3 linked regions of the Drosophila melanogaster genome follow. Changing the gene in region 3 together with the main gene of any one other region gives a genetic interaction. Each region holds a gene or a part of one and is shown on either strand. Other genes may lie near its edges.

Region 1 (9,637 bases), on a different chromosome or scaffold from region 3:
ATATAGAAACCACTTTACACATAATATACTAAAGCTTAAAACAAAAAAAAACATAAAATTAAAGATGAAAACTTACAAAAAAATACCACTATTTTTACATTAATTATTTTTAAATTTATCCTTATCTTTACCTAAATTAGTTTAGAGCTTTTTTTTGCGTCGTCTACATTTTACTGTTAAGTTCATTTAATCTACACATAATCTACATGAGGATGATGTGACGACACCAGATGTATCTACACTGTACATTGTATCTACATTACAGAGCTAAAATATCTATAAATATTATAAATATAACAAAAAAAGAGTAAAATATTATTAAAAACACAAAAAAAAAAACAAAAATAATTCGTTCCTTGGTTGTTTTTATTTTCGTTGTAGTTCAGTATTTTTGATTTTCAGTAACTGGTTTTCCTCTCTCCTTTCCAAATCGGCTTCGATTCCGAAATCCTATAATCCCGATCGTTTCGAGAGGCTTTCGATGTTGTCCCTGTACCCAGACATACATATATTAATGATCCGTAACCCCCTATTCAAACAGTTGTCTAAATTATTAATTTAATGTGAATTTGAGAAGAGCTAAAGTCGTCAGATAAATTCAAATAGCGTGTGAGTACATACATAGATGTATACCTAACTAACAACACCGATCATATATATGGAGTACACTAAACTAACATAACCTAACGTAAACTAAAATAAAGAATAAATGAATGAATTAACTACCTCAGCTTTGAATATTTCTATAGAAATGTTATTAAATGTATTTGAAAAGCGTAAGAGATATACAAATGCAAGATGCCGCCAGATCGAAAGATAGTTAATAAAAAGAAAGACAGATGGAACAGAACAATGTCAAAGAATACAAGTTTTAGAGCTGCATTTATATAGTATCAGATCGATAAGGAACATAGTAACAAAATCGTAAAACAAAACCAAAAAAAATATATTAAGTGTACGTTTTGCATATTCCTATATAGTTAACTAAACGTAAAAGCAAGATGGGTAAACATGAATACTACTATAACAATCATTTTGCGTCCATTTTTGTTGTTTCCTATACAAGAAAAAATTAAATAAAAACAAAAACAAACCACAAAAAAAAAAAATAAACAAAAAAAAAGCGAACGAATAAATCACACAAATAGGATGAAAACAAAACTATATTCCCAATTACATTGTATAACTGTCTTTTAACCACAAGCAAAACGCTAACACAATCGGTACACGATAACCAATATACTATACATATATCAAATATCCACTCTGTGTATGTTTTGTATCTGCCATGGAATATGTACCCGAAAGTAATCTAGATAACCACGTAAAGGACATAGGACTCGATGTCTAGATGTGTCGTCATAGTTTAGAGGCCCCAGTATTTACTAGCCAGTACTTTGCATTTGTTTGCCTTTATCTTTTACCTTTACCATTGCCTTTAAATTAACCCCTCTGTCCAACCAACGAAATTCAAAAGAAAGGGTTCTTCATTTGATTACCATACCCCTCAGCACGCCCAAAACTCCTAGTATTCTGGCCTGTCCCAGGGTGCTGATTCAAAAACTAGAGATATACATAGGTGTATACATAACATACTAATCTGCGTAAGATGTTTTCCCCATTTCGGTGTAACTAAATGTTAATATTGCTAGCGCTCAATACGAAATTACCGTATACAAGACCCACATACAGCAAATAAAAAGACACAAAAGCTTACTAAATTGTATCCCAAGGCCAAGGAAAATATTAGAAAACCAGATATACAACTAACTCAAATACAATTTTGTGAACATGTGAAAAACAAATCGAAAAGAAATTTACTCAATAAATGATTTTTCGTATATAAGAAGTGCATTTTGAATCAAGTTTTGCGATTATCCTTTTCAACAACGTTTTAAAATTAAGAATATGATATTTTCGAAAAACATTTTTCAGAATAACTTGGCCAAAAAAGGTGGCTCAGCTAAAACGATGACTGTTTTGTGTTGCTTATTAACATTGCTAACAATCTGTAACACTTTCAAACCGAGTTTCAGGAATAATTTTTTTGACCAATTTAAGCAATTTTTCATTAGGGGTACCATCATCAAAATTCGACAAATTACCGATTTTCTCATTTTCGATAACCAAATTTGCAAAAAATGGCCAAAAATTAAAGTTGCCAGACTTAAATACAGTTCGATGAGGAATTTGGAACGATTTCAACGAGGTATGAGATATTCCAATTTTGGACAAACCTTTGATTTAATATAAAAAGAAAACTTTTGTTTTTGTAAAAAAAAGAGCAATTAAAAAACCGCGTTAAATGCAATACATTCAAACTAGTTTTTATCATAGTTTGGCAAAAGGAGGTCGTACAGGTCGTTGTTAATTTCCCAAAGAAGCGTGCAGATTAATTGTAATGAATCCATTATTAAAACATAAAATAGTCTTTAACTTTTGTGTAATTCAGAACTCGCAATAATATAATATATAATATAAAATAATATAACATAATGGGAAAGTCGATGTAAAAATATTTTTAAGGTATTAAAAAATATCGATATTGATGCTTCAATCCCCGCTTGCCTTAATTTTATAATAAAACGTAATATACTGGTTTTAATTACATCAAAAATAGCCATATTTATTTATACTAGCAAAAGTTACCGACAAAAATATCACGAATAAAAACCGAAATCTAGCTGAATATCGATAGATCGCCGAATAAATACCAGTTAAAGCAACTATCGATATGCGGTATTTTTGCAGCTTTCATCCCCAAGTCACTGGGCCCTCGAGACCCCCACCACTTTACGAATTTCATTCGCCAAGTGAGCACGCGGCTTCGTCTGATTCTGCAAAAGAAGTTTTTATTCTGTGACTTTTGTGAGAAGTTATCAACTGAAGGTATTGTGCTATTTTCTATATCTATTACATTTGCGAGGCTCTTTTGCTTAACAAGAAAAGAGACGGTGTGCCCCGTACCTGCCATTGATTTTTTTTTACCCATTAATTCACGTCACCTTGCGCTAGATTCTGTAGTTATGTAATGTGCTAATTTTTTTATTGTGTCGGTGTTGGTTTAAACTAACGTTTTTTTTTGTATGTTCGACAAGCAGTTCCGGTTTAACTGCATCGAAAAGAAATCCCGAAATGGGACTTGAAAATACCCGAAAAGTGCTTACATAACCCTTGCGAAAAATAATTGTGCCGAAATTGTGTTTGCCATCAATTAAACACGTAATAAATTGGGCGTATTAGCAAACTTTTCGGTATTTTATACCCCCAATCCAAAGTTCATTTAGAATACCCAGAAAGAAAATGGAAGAAGCCACGCTGGATCTTTTTCCCATCTATTTCCTTCCAATTTGCAACCACGCTGGAACTGCCAACTTATGCAATAGCAACGAGTTGGCAGGCCGGCTCGTCTGTACGAAAAAATGTTGCACATGAATTGCGATTATATTTCAAAGAGAATTGCACTTCTCTAGAATCAAATTGGCCTGCATTTGCACAAATATATTATTATATACACCAAATGCAGGCTATTCTATAGTAAAACGCGTGGCAATTGATTGTTCTACCGCCCAGTCGCACATGAGTGTGTATGAACACACAGTTGCGAATAAATTCCATGTGCCACTAACGCCCTCTCGCTCACTCCCATGCCAGACACCAGCTGCGCGTGCAAGTACTTATCGGGTGTGTGTGTGTGAAGAAGAGAGAGAGAGTTGGTTTTATTTCTTAAGAGTAATGTAACTATTTCTCTTTGGTTGCCTCCCTTTCTTTTCTGACCTGCTTTCTTTTATTAAAGATAAAAATTCATGCGAAAAAAACGGGTTTCCCCAGTGTTCTCATTTCTTCTATTATTATTCCATTCCCATACCCCTTAAACCCTTTCTGACGTCAATCGTTAATGTACGTATAGTATTCATGTGATTTATTGTTTATTGTAGCCCTTTGTGTGGCCTTTTAGTGCGATTTTGCACTTGGTTGAGATTAGTGTTTATTATTACATATCCCTGGCGAATCACATTTCCAATTCTCGCCCAGTCGGCGGAAATTTTCAGTGTGATTTTCAAGCCGATCCACGCCCTGTCCTAAAACCCCGATTCATCGCACACTGAGCCATAAAAATTATAACTTCGCTGCCGTTTAATTTTGGCAATTAAGCATTTTTGCAGTAACTTTGCAACTGCATTTTTTACGCTCTCTTTTTTGATGGGCAACTAGCTCTCTTTTATTTTTTATGTAATTTTTGTGATAACGGGACCTTGAAAAAGTGTCGTAGACAGTTATATAAATTAACTGTATTAGCAGAAGTGTTTATCTAATCGCTTCACGCATTTTTTTTCGAGCGCCGCCCCTCTTCCGCCTGCGTGAAAGAGACGAAGCGTGAGAGAGAGGGAGAGAGCGGCAGGTGGACGTCAGAAAGCAAAGTCACATGCTAGCAGTGCTGCCAACCCTATCTTTAGAAATAAAGCCAAATGTTATTAATAGCTTAGCAATTAAATAGCTACAAACAATTAATAAAACCTTTCAACTCTTTTCAACTTTTATTTTTATAAAAATTGATAATAGTTTTGGTTTTTGTATTTGAATAAATTGTTCACTGCTGTATATTGAAGTTTTCTAAGCCAGTCCAAGTAGTTCTTAAAACTGAATATCAAAGATACCCCAATTTTGTTGAATAAGGAAGACATGTATTTGGGTGTAATAGAAGTACACTATTCAATCTTCTAGAAATCTAGCTAACAACTAGCTAAACGGGACTATCCGTCTGCTTCGCAGCTGACTTGTCGGCTATTTGCCAAATGTAAATGTTGTGCGTACATTCATTTTGGCAAGCGTTTAGAAAGCGCCGTCGAAAACCTCGAAAGGGGTAAATGAAAAACAATTGGCCATATATGCATTTTTGGTCATGGCCAAAACGAAACAAAAAGTGTTTTCTAATGAGTACAAGTGTGTGGTACAATACTTCCTCTTATGCAACGAATGGCGACATTGAATTCTTGAATTCTCAGCACTGATAAGCGGCGATCTCTCGCCCTCTCTCGCTCGCACACGTGCTGTTGCCAACCGCTAGTTTTTTTTCGGCTCTCTCCGAATTTCGCATACTCTGCATATGCATATAGAGAGAGAACGCTCTCCCCCTCTCTCGCTCACGCTCATCTGTTGCTGAACTTGACGATGGCGGCGACTGCGACGCCGACGTAGGCAGAGCAGGCTAGCTGGCAGATTTCGGCGAAAGGAACTTTCACAAGCAATTCAGTTGCCGTCCGGTTCAGACTTCTGACTTCCGAGGAATAAGGATAAATTTTTTTCGGTTTTGTGCTGTGATATAGAAACACAAATACAAATTGTACGTATGGCAAACAAATTGGATATCAATTATCGAATCGAATTGAGCCATAGCCCATTTAACAAAATACGCGTGTGGTTCCTAATGCTTTTATTATTATTTTTTTTTTTTAAATCAAATCCAACCTGAGCATTGAAAGAAAATCTGCCTGGTTATGTAAAACAACAAAAGAGTTGAACTTGAATCATTCATTGAACAATTTTTTTTCTGGTGTGTGGTGGTGGTCTTATGCAATCAATAACAATGAATTAAGAATAAACTTAACACTGGATTGTGGATACTACTACGACTGCTCAGCCTTCGGTGGAAGCTTTCCACGTGCAACTGTAGAATTTTTCCAGCTGAGGCTATTACATCACGAGCCTTTTAGCTCTCGGCTCTCTGTGGCTGTGGCCGAAGAAAAAGCTTCACTCTCTTTCCAGCCAATCAAAAGTCTAACACGATTAGATAACGGTTGTTATTTCAAAGAAAGAGAACAGAAGAGAAACGAAACAATGGCAAAGCACAGTTCTCTTTGCCAAGTGTGTTACATAAAACCCTTGTCAATGAAATGCTGATTTAATTTCGCTAAAATATAATTTAAACCACACGGCTAACGCAGAGCGGCGGCTGCTCTTGAAAGTCTAAAATTAACAAAACGCGCTTCAATGGCGAATGCCAACTGCCAAAAAAAAAAACCGTGGCCTCTATAGCCATCTTGCTCACACCCACTCAAATGCCCATATATATTGGCTTTTTCCATTGAACTTTTTCAATTCAATTCTTTTCTTTTTTTTTGTGTGGTGTGGCAATTATGCAATCCCCCAATCTTTACTCAATGAAAACCAGTAGACTGCCGCTCTATCCAACTAGAACTGCAATTGATTTATGTCATATTCTCTAGATAACATAAATTAGATAAGCACTTATGTATTTATGTATGCCACGTAATGCCATGTATTTTACTTAGTTTTCAAAGCTAACTGGTTAGAACTTAATTTTCCAACAGTACTTATTTTATATCGATTTAAACCACCACGTGGCAACCAGCCGGCCAATAAAACTTTTCACCTTTTTTGCACAAAACCAGTTTTACCGGCAACTGCCAACACGCATACTAACACAAACAACAAATAATTGTAACCAAAACGCTGATGTTTCCATAAACCATTCAATATTAACCCCCTTTAGCATTAAGTTTAAGTTGCCATTTATACTAACTGTGCATGTTTTTATTTGTTTCATTTGTCGCTAAAACCTTTTTACTTCACCCGCAAAAATGTTTTGTAACCATTTGTAGTGCTGTTCAAAAAAAAAAGTGCATGTTTTTCGGTTTCGGTTTATAACTGTTCAAAAAAATAAAAAAAAAGTGCATGTTTTTCGGTTTCGGTTTATAATTTAATACATTGAAAATTTTCACATTTTCATTTGGCTTTGGGCTATTCTTCTATTGTGCCTTTTTTTGCACCCGTGTAAACAAAGTGAATCGTACATCCACTATACAAAAATACCGTAAACGTATATCGTAACCATTATGCAACGCACCATCACCCGCATGCCATGGGGAATATATCAGCATCCATAACATCACAAAGGTATATCATCATCGGTATCACCAAGTATCACCATCAGCGATGACGGAACTGTCGAGATTAATCAGAGTTTTGGCCAATTGCACGATGTGTTTACAGCAAAATGGGCAAGGATTTCGATGCTGTTGGATTCGTCAAGGATTTCGCTGCCGGAGGCATCTCCGCAGCTGTCTCCAAGACTGCCGTCGCCCCCATTGAGCGTGTGAAACTGCTCCTGCAGGTTCAGCACATCTCGAAACAAATCAGCCCCGACAAGCAGTACAAGGGCATGGTTGATTGCTTTATCCGCATTCCAAAGGAGCAGGGATTCTCGTCCTTCTGGCGCGGCAACTTGGCCAACGTCATCAGATACTTCCCAACCCAGGCTCTGAACTTTGCCTTCAAGGACAAGTACAAGCAGGTGAGACTTTGCAGTCTGCATGTTAGCAATGCGAGCGGAAAACACTAACGCCCCGGTTGCTATTATGTGTGTAACTTAGGTCTTCCTGGGTGGCGTGGACAAGAACACCCAGTTCTGGCGCTACTTCGCCGGCAACTTGGCCTCCGGTGGTGCCGCTGGTGCTACCTCTCTGTGCTTTGTCTACCCCTTGGACTTTGCCCGTACTCGGTATGTTGGTATATTTGCGAAAAACAAAAAAAAAATGTCCAATAAACTAACGTAATGCTTTCGCTACGAATTTACAGCTTGGCTGCTGATACTGGCAAGGGTGGTCAGCGTGAATTCACCGGTCTGGGCAACTGCTTGACCAAGATCTTCAAGAGCGACGGCATCGTTGGATTGTACCGTGGTTTCGGAGTGTCCGTGCAGGGCATCATCATCTACCGTGCCGCCTACTTCGGCTTCTACGATACCGCTCGCGGTATGCTGCCCGACCCCAAGAACACACCCATCTACATCAGCTGGGCCATCGCCCAGGTTGTGACAACCGTCGCTGGCATCGTGTCCTATCCCTTCGATACCGTGCGTCGTCGCATGATGATGCAGTCTGGTCGCAAGGCCACCGAGGTCATCTACAAGAACACACTGCACTGCTGGGCCACCATCGCCAAGCAGGAGGGCACCGGTGCCTTCTTCAAGGGCGCCTTCTCCAACATTCTCAGAGGAACTGGTGGCGCTTTCGTGCTTGTGTTGTACGATGAGATCAAGAAGGTCTTGTAAATTAAATTATTAAATTATTCAAAACAAGCAAAATACAACAACATACAACAACAAAACAAAACAAAAGAAGTAAAACTAAACACTACCAGCTAATTATGTTAGATAACTGAATGAGAAAAGCTAAAACAACAGCAATAGCAACAGCAAAGGCATAAGCTAAGTTTGATCTGCAACCAACACCTCTTACCACGAACAACGGCAAGCAATAACAGCAAGAACCCTTCCTTCCTCACCCCGATATAATTATGAAATTATATTATTTATAAAAACTGGGAACTAATTTACGGAACGATGGCCAGCGTCAATAGAACAACAATACTACAGCAAACAGCAATGCTCGGGGCAGAGAGAGGATGCGACTCAGCACATGAGACTAGACCCACTACACTGAAAGACGAACGAACATAGCGACGATATCGATTAGTATTGTTAAGTTTGGGTTAGGCTATATACTATAGATCCAGTCATGTTGCTGGGTCGTCCCACATCTCCCCAGCCAAATCAGTGTTATCGATCGGATGCAAAGAATCGAACCGAAGACCTGTAGATTCTTTCGCCTCCGAAACGACAAACCAACAAACAAACTCAACTTCGGTTGGTTTAAAAATATATAAAAATTGATAAAAATAGTACAATGTTGTGTTTTTCTTTCTGCGCACGTACATATGTATGTATGTATATCGATCTTTCATATTTCGACTTGAACCCAATTATTGCAATGAAAGTACATATGTATTTGTAATTCAAAAATTATATTAGCATACTTACACAGACCATTTGTGCAGTCAACCAATTGGTCGTCTCAATTTAATCTTCGGCAGTTCGAAGCTAAATTATTATAATTATTTTCTGTTGTTAAAAGAGGAAAAAAACGTACGCTCATCGCTTCTAAAATTGTTGGTCAAAGTAGGCCACGATAAATACATCGAATGTCATTTCGACCGACTGGCACACAACCTCGTTAGCCAATCTCAGTTCAGATCTCAACGTTGTAACATCAAAATTAAAAATTGTAAAAAGTGAAAGTCCGTTTTTATCCTTTTTTACCAACCAACTTTGAAGCTAAACTAAATCGTTTTAAAATCATTAAACAGTAAACTAACATGGGCGATGAAGGCGGTGGCGGTGGTCATGGCAAGGGAGACCTTAAGTCTTTCCTCATGGACTTCATGATGGGCGGCGTTTCAGCTGCCATAGCCAAAACGGCAGTGGCTCCTATCGAGCGCGTGAAGCTCATTCTGCAGGTGCAGGAGGTTTCCAAGCAGATCGCGGCAGATCAGCGCTACAAGGGCATAGTCGATTGCTTCATTCGCATTCCCAAGGAGCAGGGCTTCTCGTCGTTCTGGCGCGGCAACTTGGCCAACGTAATCCGATACTTCCCAACTCAAGCCCTTAACTTTGCCTTCAAGGATGTGTACAAATCGGTTAGTTGTTTGGACAATCCTTATAATAATCATTTCACATACGCCTATAACATATAAAACATAAAACATACTACAGGTATTCCTCGGGGGCGTGGACAAGCACAAGCAGTTCTGGCGCCACTTTGCAGGAAACTTGGCC
Region 2 (8,160 bases), on a different chromosome or scaffold from region 3:
AGTTCCCCGGCAGAGTAGCAAACTAGGCGGTCCATAGCCTGAATATATAGGTATTTAGAGAATAACTAGTGGGATAACAATATAAAGAAGTTTACCTGTGATATGATTGTAGAATAGCTTGCTCCACATGGGCGCCACATCGGAGCTGCGCAGGAATTGGCCGAAGTAAGGAATGCTAAATGTATGGCTGAGCGACGCCGTCAGCGGCGAAGCGGCTATTATAAACTTGTACTTCTTCTCCAGAACGCGATCTCTTGTCTGCTGATCCAAACCCTCTAGGCACTCTAATCGCAGCAGATCTAAACCGCCCGGCAGCAAATGTCGCAGTGAGCAAATGGTAGAACGCAGAATGACTGCGTGGGCGAAATAGCGCGACACGTCGCCTTCGCCTTCCGCATCCAGCAGCGAAACTTGCTCCAGTTCAGCCAGAAAACTGTCTAGACTCTCCTCGCACAGCTTGCCCACCTCAAACATGGTCACAGCGTGATTCTTCAAGCCGGGCGACAGATTGCCCATCATTAGAAAAGCGGTGAGCGTGGAGTCGAAGAGAAAGCCCACCCTCTTACCGCTTTTTGGCAAGACAGCCGCTGATATTGCAGCCGATGGAGCAGCCTGCTTTGGGGCACACATATCCTCTTGCTCCAGCTCGGAACTCAGTTCCTGCTCATCGCTGTTGTTCACTCTCTCCTGGGGTGTCGTATTCAGGTTGGCAAAGCTGAAGTCACTCGTGTTGCCATCCGAGGAGAGGTAGCCTATGGAACTGCTGTCCTTATCCTTGTCCTTCTCCCTTTCCTTGGGTGTCTTTGGCGATTTGGGACTTTGGTCGAATTCGAAGCTGCTACTGGTATGCAAATTGTAGTTCAGCGGTGTGATCTGCGGCGTATCTGGCGTTTGCTGCTGGTTGTATCCCTCCCAGCTGGAATGATTCGTCTGATTGACCAGATCTTCTTTGCGATGTGCGAAACCCAGACGGCAGATAAACGATATGGCCTGCTTAACGCTATCCAGTTCCAGTTGCAGCATCTGTGCCAACTCGGCAATGGTCATGTGCTCATCCGCGCTAACGAAGATCTTGTACAGCAGATTCTCAAAGTAGTCCCCGCTCACACGATTCATCACAAAGTTGCGCAGCGGCGGTATGGATATCCTGTCCTCCCCGCTAATGGGCACATCTAAGTAGATCAAACCCTTCCGGTACAGGCTGTGCACCACGTCGTGATCGCATTTCCCAGCCGGCTGGGCTCCAAAGTCAATCAAGTCATCGAGCAGGCCTCTTTCAGCGGGCGACAGATAGCGAATATCCGCTTCCAGGACATAGCCAATGTCCAGTCGCCACCAGGGCTCGATGTGTATGCGCACCGGAAAGCGTGGCAGGAAGTCCAGCGGATTGGGCCGCGACCCGAAGATCAAGGAGCGCGGTGTGTGAGTTTTCATATCGCTAATAAGGGCCAGGTACTCGTTGCGGCCAATGCCCAAGACACGCAGACAGTCGGCTGCTGTAAAGTTGGGCAAAGTATCGTAGCTTTTGTCGCTTTGCAAAAGCTGACCCAAAACATCCAGATAGTAGTTGAAGGGCGTCACCCTCAAGCCCTTGGTGACGATATCGGCCAGGTGGTAGGGAAATGCGCCCAATCCATTGATGCTCTTCTGTATCAATAGCTCGTAGTAGCGTTGCTCCCGGCGAAACACCTTGGCGGCCAGGTTGCCCCGGAACCTCAGCTGATTCTTTAGACTATAGTTAAAGACGAACTTCTCGTAGTCACGCTGATTGTTGTGCAGAACCGATCGCAGGTGCACGGGCAGCAGTTCCCAGGTGACATTCCCACGCACACATTGCTGCAGTTGGTTTTGGCAATTGGTTCCAGAGCCAGTGGTCGCATTGCCACCTCCGCTGGTGGCCAAATCCTCTTGCTCCGTCATCTTGCGACTCGGATTGGTTTCTCCGGCTGGTCGGACTAACTCATTGCATTCGCTCCGGCTACGGAATCCAGTATTTTCTTCCTGCGTATTATTTTTCTTTTTTTTTCGAGGAACGATAGATCCGATAATACGGACACGGTGTTATTGGTTTCATACGTCGACAGCTGATAAGACCGCCGGTGTTTTGCAGCACTGGCGAGCAACCAGTTTTTCGATAGTTCGATTATTATTAGTATTAGTCATAATATCCCTTGGAGTTTCACAATCACGTTTAAAAGTGCAAACATCCAACGGACGTCTATCGGCAGTGACTAACAATACTGTCCGATAAAGAATGTGCCTATCGGTGTGCTGTCGATATCACTAGTTCATCGATAGCACATCGTTTAGAATGATTTTCAATATTCGTTGCTGCCTGCTTCATTCATAAACACTTACGCTATTACAGTCAAAATTGTCAAAACGTTGACGAATTATCGAGCTTTAAAGGATTGCTATCAGATTGCAAGGAAGTCGGCGTTCAGCGCTCGACGAGCGGGCAACAGAGGCAACGGCAGCGGCTGAGTAGCTTCAGCATAAGAATTTTAGGTAGCCGCGACACAAAAAAGGGACATCAACATCGATTTTTTTTTGCTCCCATTTCGTTTTGTGAGTGGAGCAAAATCACTTTCGACAAACAAAGAAAGGGGCGGCGGCGGTGGGGGCGTAAAGTGCGCAGATTTCAGCGAAGATGAACGGTGGCGGGGGTGGCGAGGATGATCAGCATCTGCCAGGTGTTTCCAGGTGAATAACTTCAGCTACTTACGTTGTGGCATATTAAATCTGATTTTCTTTGCCCCCCATCAGTGCATCAGGATCTGCAGCTGGAGCGGTGGGCGGGCGAGCCACGCCCGAAATGAAGCGTTCGGCGGTGCGCAGCCTAATCAAGCGATACTTCCACCAACTACAATCCGGCTGTGGGAACGCCAACTGCAGCAATGCCAATTGCGCCTCCAGCGGCAAGGTGGCGCCCATGACGCCCAACGAGGTGGCCGCCAGAGCACTGCAGCTCTTTTCACAGGATGCACAGCTCTGCGAGGCGTTCACATCGGAGGCCAACAGGTGAGAATTCTCTTAACAAATGGAACTGGGTAGCAAAGTTTCCAGAGCACCGATAAGATTTTCTATAGGTAATTATCTTTCAATTAAATTTTTTCCCATTTTAGCCCCCAGGACGTGGACATGCTTTCGCCGAACGACAGTAGCAGTAGTAGCAGCGGCAGCTCGACAAGCACAATTACCTCAGCCAGTACCACCACGACAACCAGCAGACAATCGCAGTCAACGCCAGCTGCCGTTGTAGTGCCCGTATCCAGTCCATATCTTACCCAGAGTGTGCCGCAACTGGATATCGCCGGCGCTGAACACTCCTCCGGCGACTCGGAACCGTGTACACCCACCCTGGCGCCAGTCCACAGCTTGGATGCCAACAGTCTGATAGCGCTCTATGAGCAATGTAGGGCGGCTGACAGTTACGACAGGATTTGCCACGCAATCGGCGTTGTGTTCTCCAGCGTAGATAGACTGGGCAAGAGCTTCATTCGCAGCGCAGAACCAGCGGCTTCTAGTAGTCTCCAGGAGCTGCTGGCCAATTCACCGGGGGCTTTAAACAAGGAGCAGCTACGAACTTTGGAAGGGGAACACGATAAAGACGAAGACAGTACACAACAGGTGGACGAACAATCAGAATCGGCGGCTAATGCTACTGCTACTGCAGAATCAGTCGAATCAGAGGCGGAGCCCGAAGAAGAGGACGATGATGTGTGTTCATCCCAAAGCAGCGACACACTGGTGGATCTGCCCGGTTTGCGACGAGTGCAGCGTCTCCTTTTTGGCTGTCAAATACGAGCTATAACGGAGAAGCTTACCAGCAGCGTTATTCAGCTGTCTGACTGGGTGATTTACATGCGTACGGATTGGGAGAGGGTCATTCACTGTCTGGTCATCTGCTTTGATCTAGCCACCAATAGTGAGTTTTTCAATTGTATGCCTGGAATGTTTCAAGTTACAGCTTTTCTCATAACCCTTTAGCCAATAACAGTGTGGTGGACATGGACTATCTGGACAGGGTGCTGCCAAAATTGTGCCAAGCGGCGTCGGCCATGCCAGTGCCGGCACAGGCGCGCCTGGCCAGGATCTGGGCTGCTCATTGTTCAGATCAGCTGCATTCGTTGATCGCAGCCTGCCAGCAGCAAATTACTCTACAGGTGCTTTTGGACGAGGAATCCATGCGCGAGAACGAATCCATAATCAGTGTCACCAAAGTTTTAAAGGTATTTGTTAGGTTTATTATGCAATATGGCTTGTAATGCAGTTGGGTTAACTTCTTCTGTGATAGATTGTCTTCTACGCGAACATTCTGGCTAGCGAGCTGGAGCGACCGTCGTGTCGGGTGCCGCTGGAGGATCGAACGGAAGCGGCGACCGCATCTGGCAGCGCAGCAGTGGAGGACGACCTATTCGTCTACAACTCTTTGTTGGAGCCGCACATGCCCAAATTCGCCGAGGATCAGTTTGAAAAGGAGCTGCAGGTGTCGGCAATCGATTGCCGGAAACCACTGATACCACTTGAGGAGTTCTACAACGAGGCACTCAGTGAAAACATTCAGATGCACCACGACTACCTGTCCTACAAGACGTTAGCCATGGAGAGCGAGATTGGTTCCGGCCACGCGAACTATTTTTCGTTCATGCTGTACGCCTTTATCCTCACGCCGTCAACAAAAGTGGATGCCTTGTACTATGACAGTCGAATGAGGATGTATAGCGAGCGCTACTCCTCCCTTCACTCCATCCTCAACAATATTGGCCAGGTAGGACAGGAAGATAATCCTCGGCCGGATCTTAAGCTGACGGTGCGAAGGGACCAGCTCATCAACGACGCACTTATTGGGGTGTGTACAAATGGTTCTTTAGTGTCCTAGTTAACAGGCGTAATTAATACACGTTTAATTCCCCAGCTGGAAATGGTGGCCATGAGCAATCCAAAGGATCTCAAGAAGCAGTTGGTGGTGGAGTTTGTCGGCGAGCAGGGGATCGATGAAGGCGGCGTATCCAAAGAGTTCTTCCAGCTAATCGTGGAGGAGATATTTAACCCGGCTTTTGGAATGTTTATACAGCAAGAGGAGACCAACAATATGTGGTGGGTATTCAATTGGGATAAATCTGTTCAGTTGAACTATATAAATATATATATATACATATGCAGGTTCAATGCCACACCATTTGAGAACGGAGCGCAATTCACTCTGATTGGTATAATTATTGGCCTGGCGATCTATAACAACGTCACCCTGGCCGTAAACTTCCCCATGGTGGTCTATCGCAAGTTGATAGGCTATTGCGGCACGTTCGCAGACCTCAGCGACTGGAGTCCGGCGCTGTACAAGAGTCTGAAGTCCATGCTGGACTATCAGGGCCAGGATATGGAGGAGGTATTCGAACAGACCTTCAAGATTAGCTATAGCGATGTTTTCGGTGATGTGGTACAACACGAACTGGTGCCGAACGGCCAGGATGTACTGGTGGGGCAGCACAACAAGGAACTGTTTGTCAACCTGTACAGTGATTTCCTGCTTAACACGAATATCGAACAGCAGTTCAATGCTTTCCGCAAGGGCTTCGAAATGGTTACGGACGAATCGCCACTGAAGCTGCTCTTCCGTCCAGAGGAGATTGAAATGCTGGTCTGCGGCAGTCGTGTGAGTAGCTAAATTCAAATTACGAAATTCATTCGGTTGCTGAACTCTGAAACCTTCGGCAGGAATTCGACTTTGTGGAACTGGAAAACTCCACTGTGTACGAGGGCGGCTACACGGAGAAGAGCCAGTACATCCAGGACTTCTGGAGCATAGTGCATGCGATGCCCAGCGAGGACAAGCACAAGCTGCTCGAATTCACGACGGGATCGGCGCGTGTTCCGGTTGGCGGCCTGAAATGCCTGCGTCTGCTAATCACGCGTCACGGTCCGGATAGCGATCGGTTGCCTACCTCGCACACCTGCTTCAACGTTCTCCTCCTGCCCGAGTACAGCAGCCGCGAGAAGCTGGAGGAGCGCCTGATGAAGGCCATCAACTACTCGAAGGGCTTCGGCATGCTGTAGACTATGGTCCAAACTGCAAGTGCAAGTCTGTCATCTGGAACTGATACCACCACCTCTCTGGGAAGAAGATTTCGAAGACTTTGATCGGTTTGAGTTCGTTTTGGGTTCTGCCATTTATTTTTGATACGACCTGTTCAATGAGACAATATATACATACCCAATATATGTGCTCAATTTATATGGTGCGACGGCGAAGCGAGCAGACCGAACGGACACGCGATTTTGTTTCCCTTCTTTAGCCCAGTTAATTGTACATAAACACACACATAAACACGCCACATACTACATTATGTGAACTTACCCTAGGAACAACACCCACATTTAAAAACAGTACGCGCTGAATATTTTCCTAAATAAATTTAAAGTAGTTCGGCGAAGAAACAGATGTATTTTCCATTTAGATTGGTTTTCGCAAGTATGGAATATTTTTTAATATTAGATATTTTTAATTTAAACTAAGATTACTAACAAATTAAAATTGTGGAAAAAGATTCATTTAAATTATATTTACATATTTAATTTAGTATAGAAACATCAAATACAAAACATTTTGTAAGCAATATTTCACACTAGCTGACATTTAAATTTCGGTGTGAAGTACTTTTTATTTTTTAACTTAAAAAATAACTTGTTAACTTTATTTTTTATTTAGTCTAGACACATTTAAAAAAAAAAGAGGTGTGAAAGCCTTATTTCACAACAGCTGACTTGGGACTAGTGGATTTTTTAGGCCCTTTTTTTCAGGCGATATTTTCTAACGGCTTAGCCGCAGCCACACATTTGTTATTCGCGTTTCTGAGTTTCTTGCGGGTGGGACTCCCGATATTTTGTGGAGCGGAAGGTGTTTTGATTTCCTTAGCATTTAGCACAAAAAAATGCAACTAGTATAAAGTACTGTTCACTATAACAATTTTTAACCACCGATAGCGAGTGCTTCACTGTGTGTGCGAGTAAGAGAGAGAGAGAGCAACTAGCTCCAGCATCATGAGAATACAACAAAGCGCCTTGTTGTTGTTGCTGCTGGCCGTGACGTCGCAAGGAGATGCCGAGTCCAATTGGAATGGTTTGTTCTTAATTTCTAACTAGAATGAGTTCATCAGCAGCCATAGAAAATTATATTGCATTCATGTTTTCATATTTTTCGATCTTAAGTGCATTCCACTGCCGTACTTATTACACAAATGCACAGAGATAAAAAGGGATGTGATGCGGTTGGTTTTTTCTTATCATTCTTGATAAGAAACTAGAACATCCTTTTCTCGTTCAAAACATAAAAAGTCCGAAATGTAGTTTCCCCTTACTTTTTTCTGTGTATGTGCAGTACATATCTCAGAGAATTTGTTTATGATCCATATACCACCCGACCACATCTCTCCTTGCCTTTTAATTTGCTTTTGTTTTCGTTTCGCTTTGATGCTGCGGTCGTTTACTCTGGAATTGCTCGGAAAACGGAGCAGATGCAGATTCAAGTGTTCAGATGCATCTGCATCTGAGATGAAAGATACAAAATGGTTCTCAAACAGCAAATTCGTTTACACATTCAGAAATTAAACTGCTTTAAACAAGCCGAACTTGTTGTCTAACATGTATTCGTTATAATTTAATGACTTCAGACAATACAATATCATTTTGTTGTATTCTAATTAGAACCCAAAACTAGAATACAGTAGAGCTTACGCAAGTTCAACGAGCAATATAAGAAACTATTAAATTTATGTTAAATTACATTAATTAAAAATAATCCAAAAGTAATGACTTACTTTCTATTAATCTTTACTATTGATTCATATATATGTTAATTTACAGACAAAATCAAAGTGTTCACTGTGGCCACTGAACCCACCGATGGCTATACTAGATATATTCGATCTGCACGAGTCTACGATATTGAGGTGAGGATTCGTATTAATTAGAGCATTTTAAAGTCGAGACAAGAAATTGTTTCACACTGTCTATCTAATATCTATGAGCTGCTATAGTTAGGTATTATGGTTAGCGGAAAAAGAATTATAAAGCGGTTGGAACTTTGAAACTTGACAGTTCATCAAGAAAGACATTCTACCATCTGGGATAAAAATTAGAGAACATTAAATACAGTTA
Region 3 (6,530 bases):
TATAGCTGGATATTTTCGGCTACTGCCAAATTGGCATTTGTCCGCTACTTATTTCGATTTGTTTGCATTTGGCCAAAAAGGCACTTTTTTTATTTTTTTTTTTTTTTTGTGCGATCGTGACTGCAAAAGTAGCTTTATGGCAACGTCAGCAGCGCGTATTAAATTGTATTTAAATTAAAACAAATTACGGACAGGCCGAGTTTGTGTGCAAGTGGCGGCAATTGCTGATATTGTCGTCACATATGAGGCATTAAATTAAATAAAAATTTATTATGACGATTTAAGGAGCGTCGGGCAACAAGCAAAGTGCGAATCAAAAGATACAGGCACAGATTCACACACAATTGAGCTACATATACAACTGTATGTATCTTCTGCGAGAATTCGAACAATCTTTCAATTGTTTGCATCATTTGGAAAACATTTTCCATTCCATTTTCGTTTCGAAATGCCAAGATTTTAACATTTATGGCAGGCAGGTATATGTAGCTATTTTTTTATGGATCTCCAGTGCCAAAAGAAATCCCACGGACAAGTGGCAGCCAAATCCGATTTTAGCGAGTTCTTGCGGGTTATATATTTATTTACTCGATCTAGAATAGTTGGATCGCCCGCTGTTTTTTGTGTTTATTCATTTGTTATGCCTTCCCATTTTACCGGCCAATTGAATCCGAGTAATATTCGAAAGTTATGTCATTTCCTTAGCTATGCATTACAGATTGCCCAGTGGAGCCGGCTTAATCTCGACCCAGCTCGTTTACTTCCTCCCACAATGCGTTCGCGGTAATTGCGGTAATTGTTGTCGTTCAGACAATATTAAGTGCGTGACACAAGACGAGTTCAGAGTTCTGGAGATTCACAAATCTCGTCTTACCGCCCGAAACTCGTTTGAACCGGTGGCGAACAGGAACAATTGAGCCATTGTTGAGCTCCGGCTCAGCTACTTCAGGTAGCTGGACAATAAACTACCCCTTCGGAACTAAGCCACCCCTGAAGGGTAATGATCGATGGACCTTGAGAGACCTACAAGCTGGAGACCAACTCGAAAACAAACGAAAACGAAAATAAATCAACGTACCGCTCTAGAACTTAATCTACAAGTGTTGGTCGAGCGAGTGTTATCTGATAAGCAGACGAAAGGTAAATATAGCGCAAAGGCACAGATACAGATACCGATACCTGGGAAACTGGAGGCCCAGACCCCTAATAGCGGGTTATGCAATCGTTAGTAATTAAGACCCTACCCATTGACGCAAACTGGGCATGTGCCAAATATCACACCGCAGCGAAACAAATCGAAGTCCTTGTCGAATGCAATCTGTGTGCTGGATGTGACAGCAAACAGTCAATGGGCGAGGTGATAATTTCCACATCTTGCGATTATGGCCGCCAATTGATGATGCCCACATAGCGTAGATGGCTTTTTCCAACAAGATCTATTCAAACGGTTTGCCATTGTCAGTTGATTAGATTTTTATTGGCGCGTAATTGAATTAAAACGGCCAATATTGTTTTGCTGCCACGCTTTGATTGCCGAAAGCAAGTCACCACCTCTGTCGGACGGTTTTCTGGTATTTTCCAGTTGTAATTATTATCACTGTCGCTTTTACTGCCATCGGCAATCTGTTAAGTAGTTAACGCGAACCTAAAATCTCCGAGCCGGGTAAAACTGGTCAAAAAGGGAAGGGGCCCGTCTATTCGGGTGCACAAAATATCTGGTTAATATATAGTATAGGTGTGTGTACTACATGTCAACGCTGATAACTGCTGATAGTATTCAAATCCTGGGTGTTAGCATTTAGAACCTGCCATTACCACGTTGGAAGCACATTATTCAGCTTATTTGCCGTCCTCTCCATAAACTCTTAATTGCTTTATCTGCATTTTTCGACTGATAAACGGGTAGATGCATACATACATACATATACCAACTAGTTCTCGTTTTGGCTGGCCCTTAATTCCAAATCATTTACTTATGGAACGCACATTGAGAGGAAGGGAACTTCATTATCGCGTTCTTAGAGCATCGTCAGATTGTAGTTTCATGATTTTTGATGTGCTTTCTTAAATTGACTTCAATTGAAAGCGCATGAGTCAGCATACAAAACGAAGCCACAACGCTGGTGGGGGGATGTGAGATATACTCGTACATAACTCAGCTTTACGCGGATTTGTGCGTGAAATCATAATAGAATTTCCACTGAGCACACTGGGTTAAGATATAAGATGTCGTAGTCCGGCAGATTGAATTATAATAATTATGCAACGTTGTATTCTACACCAACAATATTATCATCAGAATTTGCCCTTGAAAATCCGTTGGGAAATGCGTCATATTTTATAAAATTAATTGTATGAAACCCAACCCAATAAACCCAACCACAAATGTTTTTAAACTTAAAATAATTTGCGTAACTTATTTTGATTCTTAAAATATGCATACCACTACAATACTAATAAAGACGTAATTTTGGAATTACATACTTAATTTTATAACAATACAAATATGCACAATATAATATATATTATAATAATTATATAATAATATCTAAATATATTCTACAAGACACTTTCAAGTCTAAGTGAGGTCTTAAGCGTTCTTTTCAAGTTTTCCCGTTACAAATAATATCTGGACCCACTGTTTGTTGCGAGTGGATTCAGACCGCTTGCTCTATAGTTTTGCATACTTTCGGGCCGTCGAACCAGTATGTGTGTGGGTGCGTGCGTGTGTGTGACCTGCCCTTAGACAAGCCCCAAAATCAATAGAGCTGGCAATACGGACTTAGAATTGGTGGTCTAGCCCTAGGAACAGAACCGAAAGCCCGGGTGGAAACAACAACCCTGGCGAAGAACTCATTACCTTCTGCGGGGTAATTAAGTGGCGTCATCGGTGGGGCATTTAGTAACTAATCGAATGGTGAGGGGGTAGGGAAGGGAAAGTAAGGGCTACGTACTGAGAAAAAAGTACGGTAAGAAGTACGTCGATTTACGCTAATGTGCCAGTGTGTGTAATTAGCAGCGCACTACTCGGCCCAATGACACCAATTCCGGAAGGAGGGAAAGCACGGAAAATGGAAAAATAAACGTGTTATGCAGGGTAGTTTCGTTCTAGAGCTCGAGATTCCAATAATGAAATCTGCGAGATGCGGCGGAATGGGGCGTGGTTCGGGAGGGGCGGCAGCAGTACCGGTTATGTAAGCCGAAAACTGGAAGATTTCCAAGCACGGAAAAGCGAAAAGCTTTCGCGCCGGGAAAGTGGAAAATTTGGGAAACTGGTCGGCCTGGAAATGCAAATTGCGCATGCCAGCTAAGCGCACCTGGAAAGCGAGAGAGAGAGAGACAGAGAGGCAGAGAGAGAGAGAGAGAGCAAGAGAAAGGGAGAGCGAATACAAATTCGAGAAAAAAGTCAAAAGCCAGGCTCTAAGCCCAGGCTATTTTTACAGATCAGCAGGTAAGCGGATATAGGCCCATCCAGATCCAATAGGATTAGTAACTGCGCCCCGTTTCACATTCGATTCCGTTTGCAGTTACCGAAAGCCCGCAAACAAATTAGTAAACTTCGTTGGGCGTCGCCTCGGCTTTGTTGTTGTTGTCGTTGCTTCTCGCTTTTTCACCAGCAACAAAACAAATAGTAGTAGCAGCAGCAGCAGCAAGAACAACACCAAAAGCAATGTACACAACACAGATACACGCACACACCCACACAGCGCACTCGGGCTTCGATTTTTCCCACTAAAAACAACGCCCGCTCAGCGTATCACTTGGCCAATTTGTTTTGGCCCTGGTTCTTTTTGGTTCCCTCGTCATGGTCTAACAACAGTTTAAACTTAACCATTTTCTCACTTAACTAACTTAGTTTTCATCGTAATCCAGGCTTTATTTTTGCTCACCTCGTAATCCGACCTTAACGCCATGTTATTTTAATTTAACTCGATTATTCCCAGGGATGTGGAAAATTTACACAATTCCAACGTATCGATATTTTAGAAGTCGTGACTACCAAATGGAGAGTTATCGGCCTATTGTATCGAATAAGCCGGTGTAGAAATCGGGATGGCAATCGGTTAAGAAAATGTAATTGTAAATATTGCATTATGAATAAAATTACTATTATAATTTGTCAATAGTCCGAACAGTCTGGTTTATTTAAAATGAAAAGTTAAGTATTTTAAATATACCTGGATATTTATTTACCGAAAGTTGTTACTATGCTACCTTCAAATATTAATATCTGGATATGTTTGGATTTCAATACTCTCATTAATAATTGCTAATTTAAAATACCAAGTTAAAAATATGTTTAATTTTTCACCTCAATTTGGAAATAACATACTTTTATGTACTTTTTATATCAACTGCAAGCGTGAAAATTACTGGAGCTGCCAGATTAAAATATACACACTACGATAGTTGCCATCTTGAATATTTACAGATATGGAGAGTTGCCAACGTTATAGTTATGTGTATTCAATTTCAAGAGATAATAAAATACCAAATACAATACGCGCGTCTTCTTGCATTCCAAACATAGGTGGCGCTGTATAAGCAAAATAATTTTAAGTGGCAGATAGAACGAAGTGTAGATGGCGTTCGTTAAACGTATAAATTAGCTACTCTCCAAGAAATGTTCAACTGGACTTGAATCTTCTCAAATTTATTTCCTATGTTCAGTATTGATCGTTGATCATTGTTGCGATGAATGGCTTCAAACGGGCCAGAGATTCTCGAAGGCTCAGCAATTCGACGATCCTGTGGGGAAAAACGCATCTTGGAGATTATAAGTTCAGCTTACTTAAACTAATTAAATTATACTTAAATTTCAAGATACACCTGATACCCCTCGTCATCATTATCCAGCAACTTATCATTGGAAGCACCAACTGAAGGTTCGCCCGAAACCAACAGACCGCGTAATTGATTATAATTAAATTATGAATTTAATTGAGAACACTATTGATAAGTACGAGTCACGATGTGGAACTCAAGACGAAGATCTTCCAATTTGTCAGTGTAATGGAGCTATAAACATAACAATCCTCCAAACGACCAGGCATTTGGAAAACTTATCTCCGTCCGCACAAGATCTCATTTTATCATCCGAAATGCTGACCTCCACTTGGTCGAAGCTGAATTTATCGCAACTCTAAACCCCAAATATAATCAGGATAATTAGATGTCTCAAGTCATTTTGTTCTTGAAGGCTAGCATGTTCTATCTAAGTTAGCTTCCCAGCAAAATGGCATCTAAATTTCTACAGATTCATTCAATTGATCAATTCGGTGACCAATTACAAGGAAATGCCAAATTTGCACACTCTTACAAAGAGCACAGTTTGCACGGTTTCATTTGCCCTTACCTTCTCCGGAAGCTTCAATTGGTTTATCCGGTTAATTAATATTTTGAAATCAATTGTTGTCGACACGAGCACAAACAAGGAAGCAGCTCCAAAGGGGCTGCGGTTGCTTAGGCGAAACGACTTTTCGCTCAGCTGCAGAGCAACCCACTTTCCACTTTGCCCATCCTTTTGCCCGCCCTCTCATCCTGCGGCCCCGTCAATCGATTCAATATCCCATGGCCATTAGAAGGAAGCCGGCTCGACTACAAAATTGAGCCCACATAAGCTGAGGGGAAATCGCCTTGTTGCCACTGCCACTGTCTTCGGGTTTGGCTTTCGCTTTTGCTTTTGCTTTGGCATTGGCTTTGGCTCAAATAACCTGAAAGGCCCAATCAACAGGTGTCTTTGCCTCTGCTGCGTGCTGGTGCTTAGTGTTTCTGTGTGTCTGGGTGTTTGTGGTTCAACAACCGGGCCACCGGCGGCAAGGAGTCAGCTTCACGGCCGAGTCGGATGCCTCGGTGTGTGCCAAGCCAAATGGCGAGAAATAAAACTGGAATAATTCAATAGGAGGCGTGGCCAGCCCACTAAGCCCATGGGTAGGAAGTGGAGGGGGGGGGGTGTGTGGGTATGGCTGCGATGGTTGGATTCAGTTCGGAGAAGGCAGCTTCATAGCTTGCGTAATGAATGTCCTTAGCAGGCTGGGCACGTTTCATGTTTTTTCGTTCATGTTTGCTCTGCCAGGCTCCTGGAATCCCCCATCCAGGCCGCCAATTTGGAGCCAAACGGAAGGACCAGAATGCTGGCCATTAAAGCTCGTGCTCCTCCAGCTCCTTTTGCTCATTTCACTTAAGTTCATTTCGCAATTTAACACTACCAGGACACGCATCAACGAGCTGGCGTCTTAATTTGTGCCGCTTTTTCTGCCTACGCTCATAATAAATGCAAAAAATAGTAAGGGCAAAAAACAAAAAAAAAAAAAAACAAATAAATTTCCAGCAGAGGAAATGCCGAAAATATTTGCATGCAAATTTCCGACCTCCTTCACGCAGAAAAAAGCTGCACACCAGCAGCCGTTTGTCCCGTCAACCGCAATTTGAGTAAATTTAATTGAAGCCCCTTGGCCTCCTGCTCATGCATATTTATTGAGTCGTGGAGGGGACGGTGGGAACGGAAGCGGAGCACCCTTTTTGGGTCC

What was found.
Region 1: of Atpalpha (region 3) and sesB, changing one suppresses a phenotype caused by changing the other (phenotypic suppression), as found in Drosophila melanogaster (one study listed by BioGRID).
Region 2: of Atpalpha (region 3) and Ube3a, changing one suppresses a phenotype caused by changing the other (phenotypic suppression), as found in Drosophila melanogaster (one study listed by BioGRID).

Annotation. Positions count from the first base shown.
Region 1 is NC_004354.4:10,780,058-10,789,694, reverse strand, and holds sesB (stress-sensitive B), read left to right. Parts: upstream 1-2,787; 5' UTR 2,788-2,889; intron 2,890-5,236; exon of another isoform or gene 5,237-5,344; intron 5,345-6,805; 5' UTR 6,806-6,883; coding exon 6,884-6,918; intron 6,919-7,014; coding exon 7,015-7,315; intron 7,316-7,394; coding exon 7,395-7,522; intron 7,523-7,599; coding exon 7,600-8,074; 3' UTR 8,075-8,702; downstream 8,703-9,637. Other genes in the region: Ant2 (adenine nucleotide translocase 2), read left to right, coding at 9,178-9,498, 9,575-9,637.
Region 2 is NT_037436.4:11,204,697-11,212,856, reverse strand, and holds Ube3a (ubiquitin protein ligase E3A), read left to right. Parts: upstream 1-2,273; 5' UTR 2,274-2,650; coding exon 2,651-2,703; intron 2,704-2,766; coding exon 2,767-3,021; intron 3,022-3,125; coding exon 3,126-3,928; intron 3,929-3,990; coding exon 3,991-4,232; intron 4,233-4,297; coding exon 4,298-4,852; intron 4,853-4,918; coding exon 4,919-5,100; intron 5,101-5,166; coding exon 5,167-5,659; intron 5,660-5,721; coding exon 5,722-6,060; 3' UTR 6,061-6,435; downstream 6,436-8,160. Other genes in the region: CG7600 (uncharacterized protein), read right to left, coding at 1-38, 96-1,920; Plod (procollagen lysyl hydroxylase), read left to right, coding at 7,045-7,123, 7,867-7,952.
Region 3 is NT_033777.3:20,946,190-20,952,719, reverse strand, and holds the start of Atpalpha (Na pump alpha subunit), read right to left. Parts: upstream 3,941-6,530; 5' UTR 3,915-3,940; coding exon 3,891-3,914; intron 1-3,890. UniProt on the Drosophila melanogaster protein: This is the catalytic component of the active enzyme, which catalyzes the hydrolysis of ATP coupled with the exchange of sodium and potassium ions across the plasma membrane.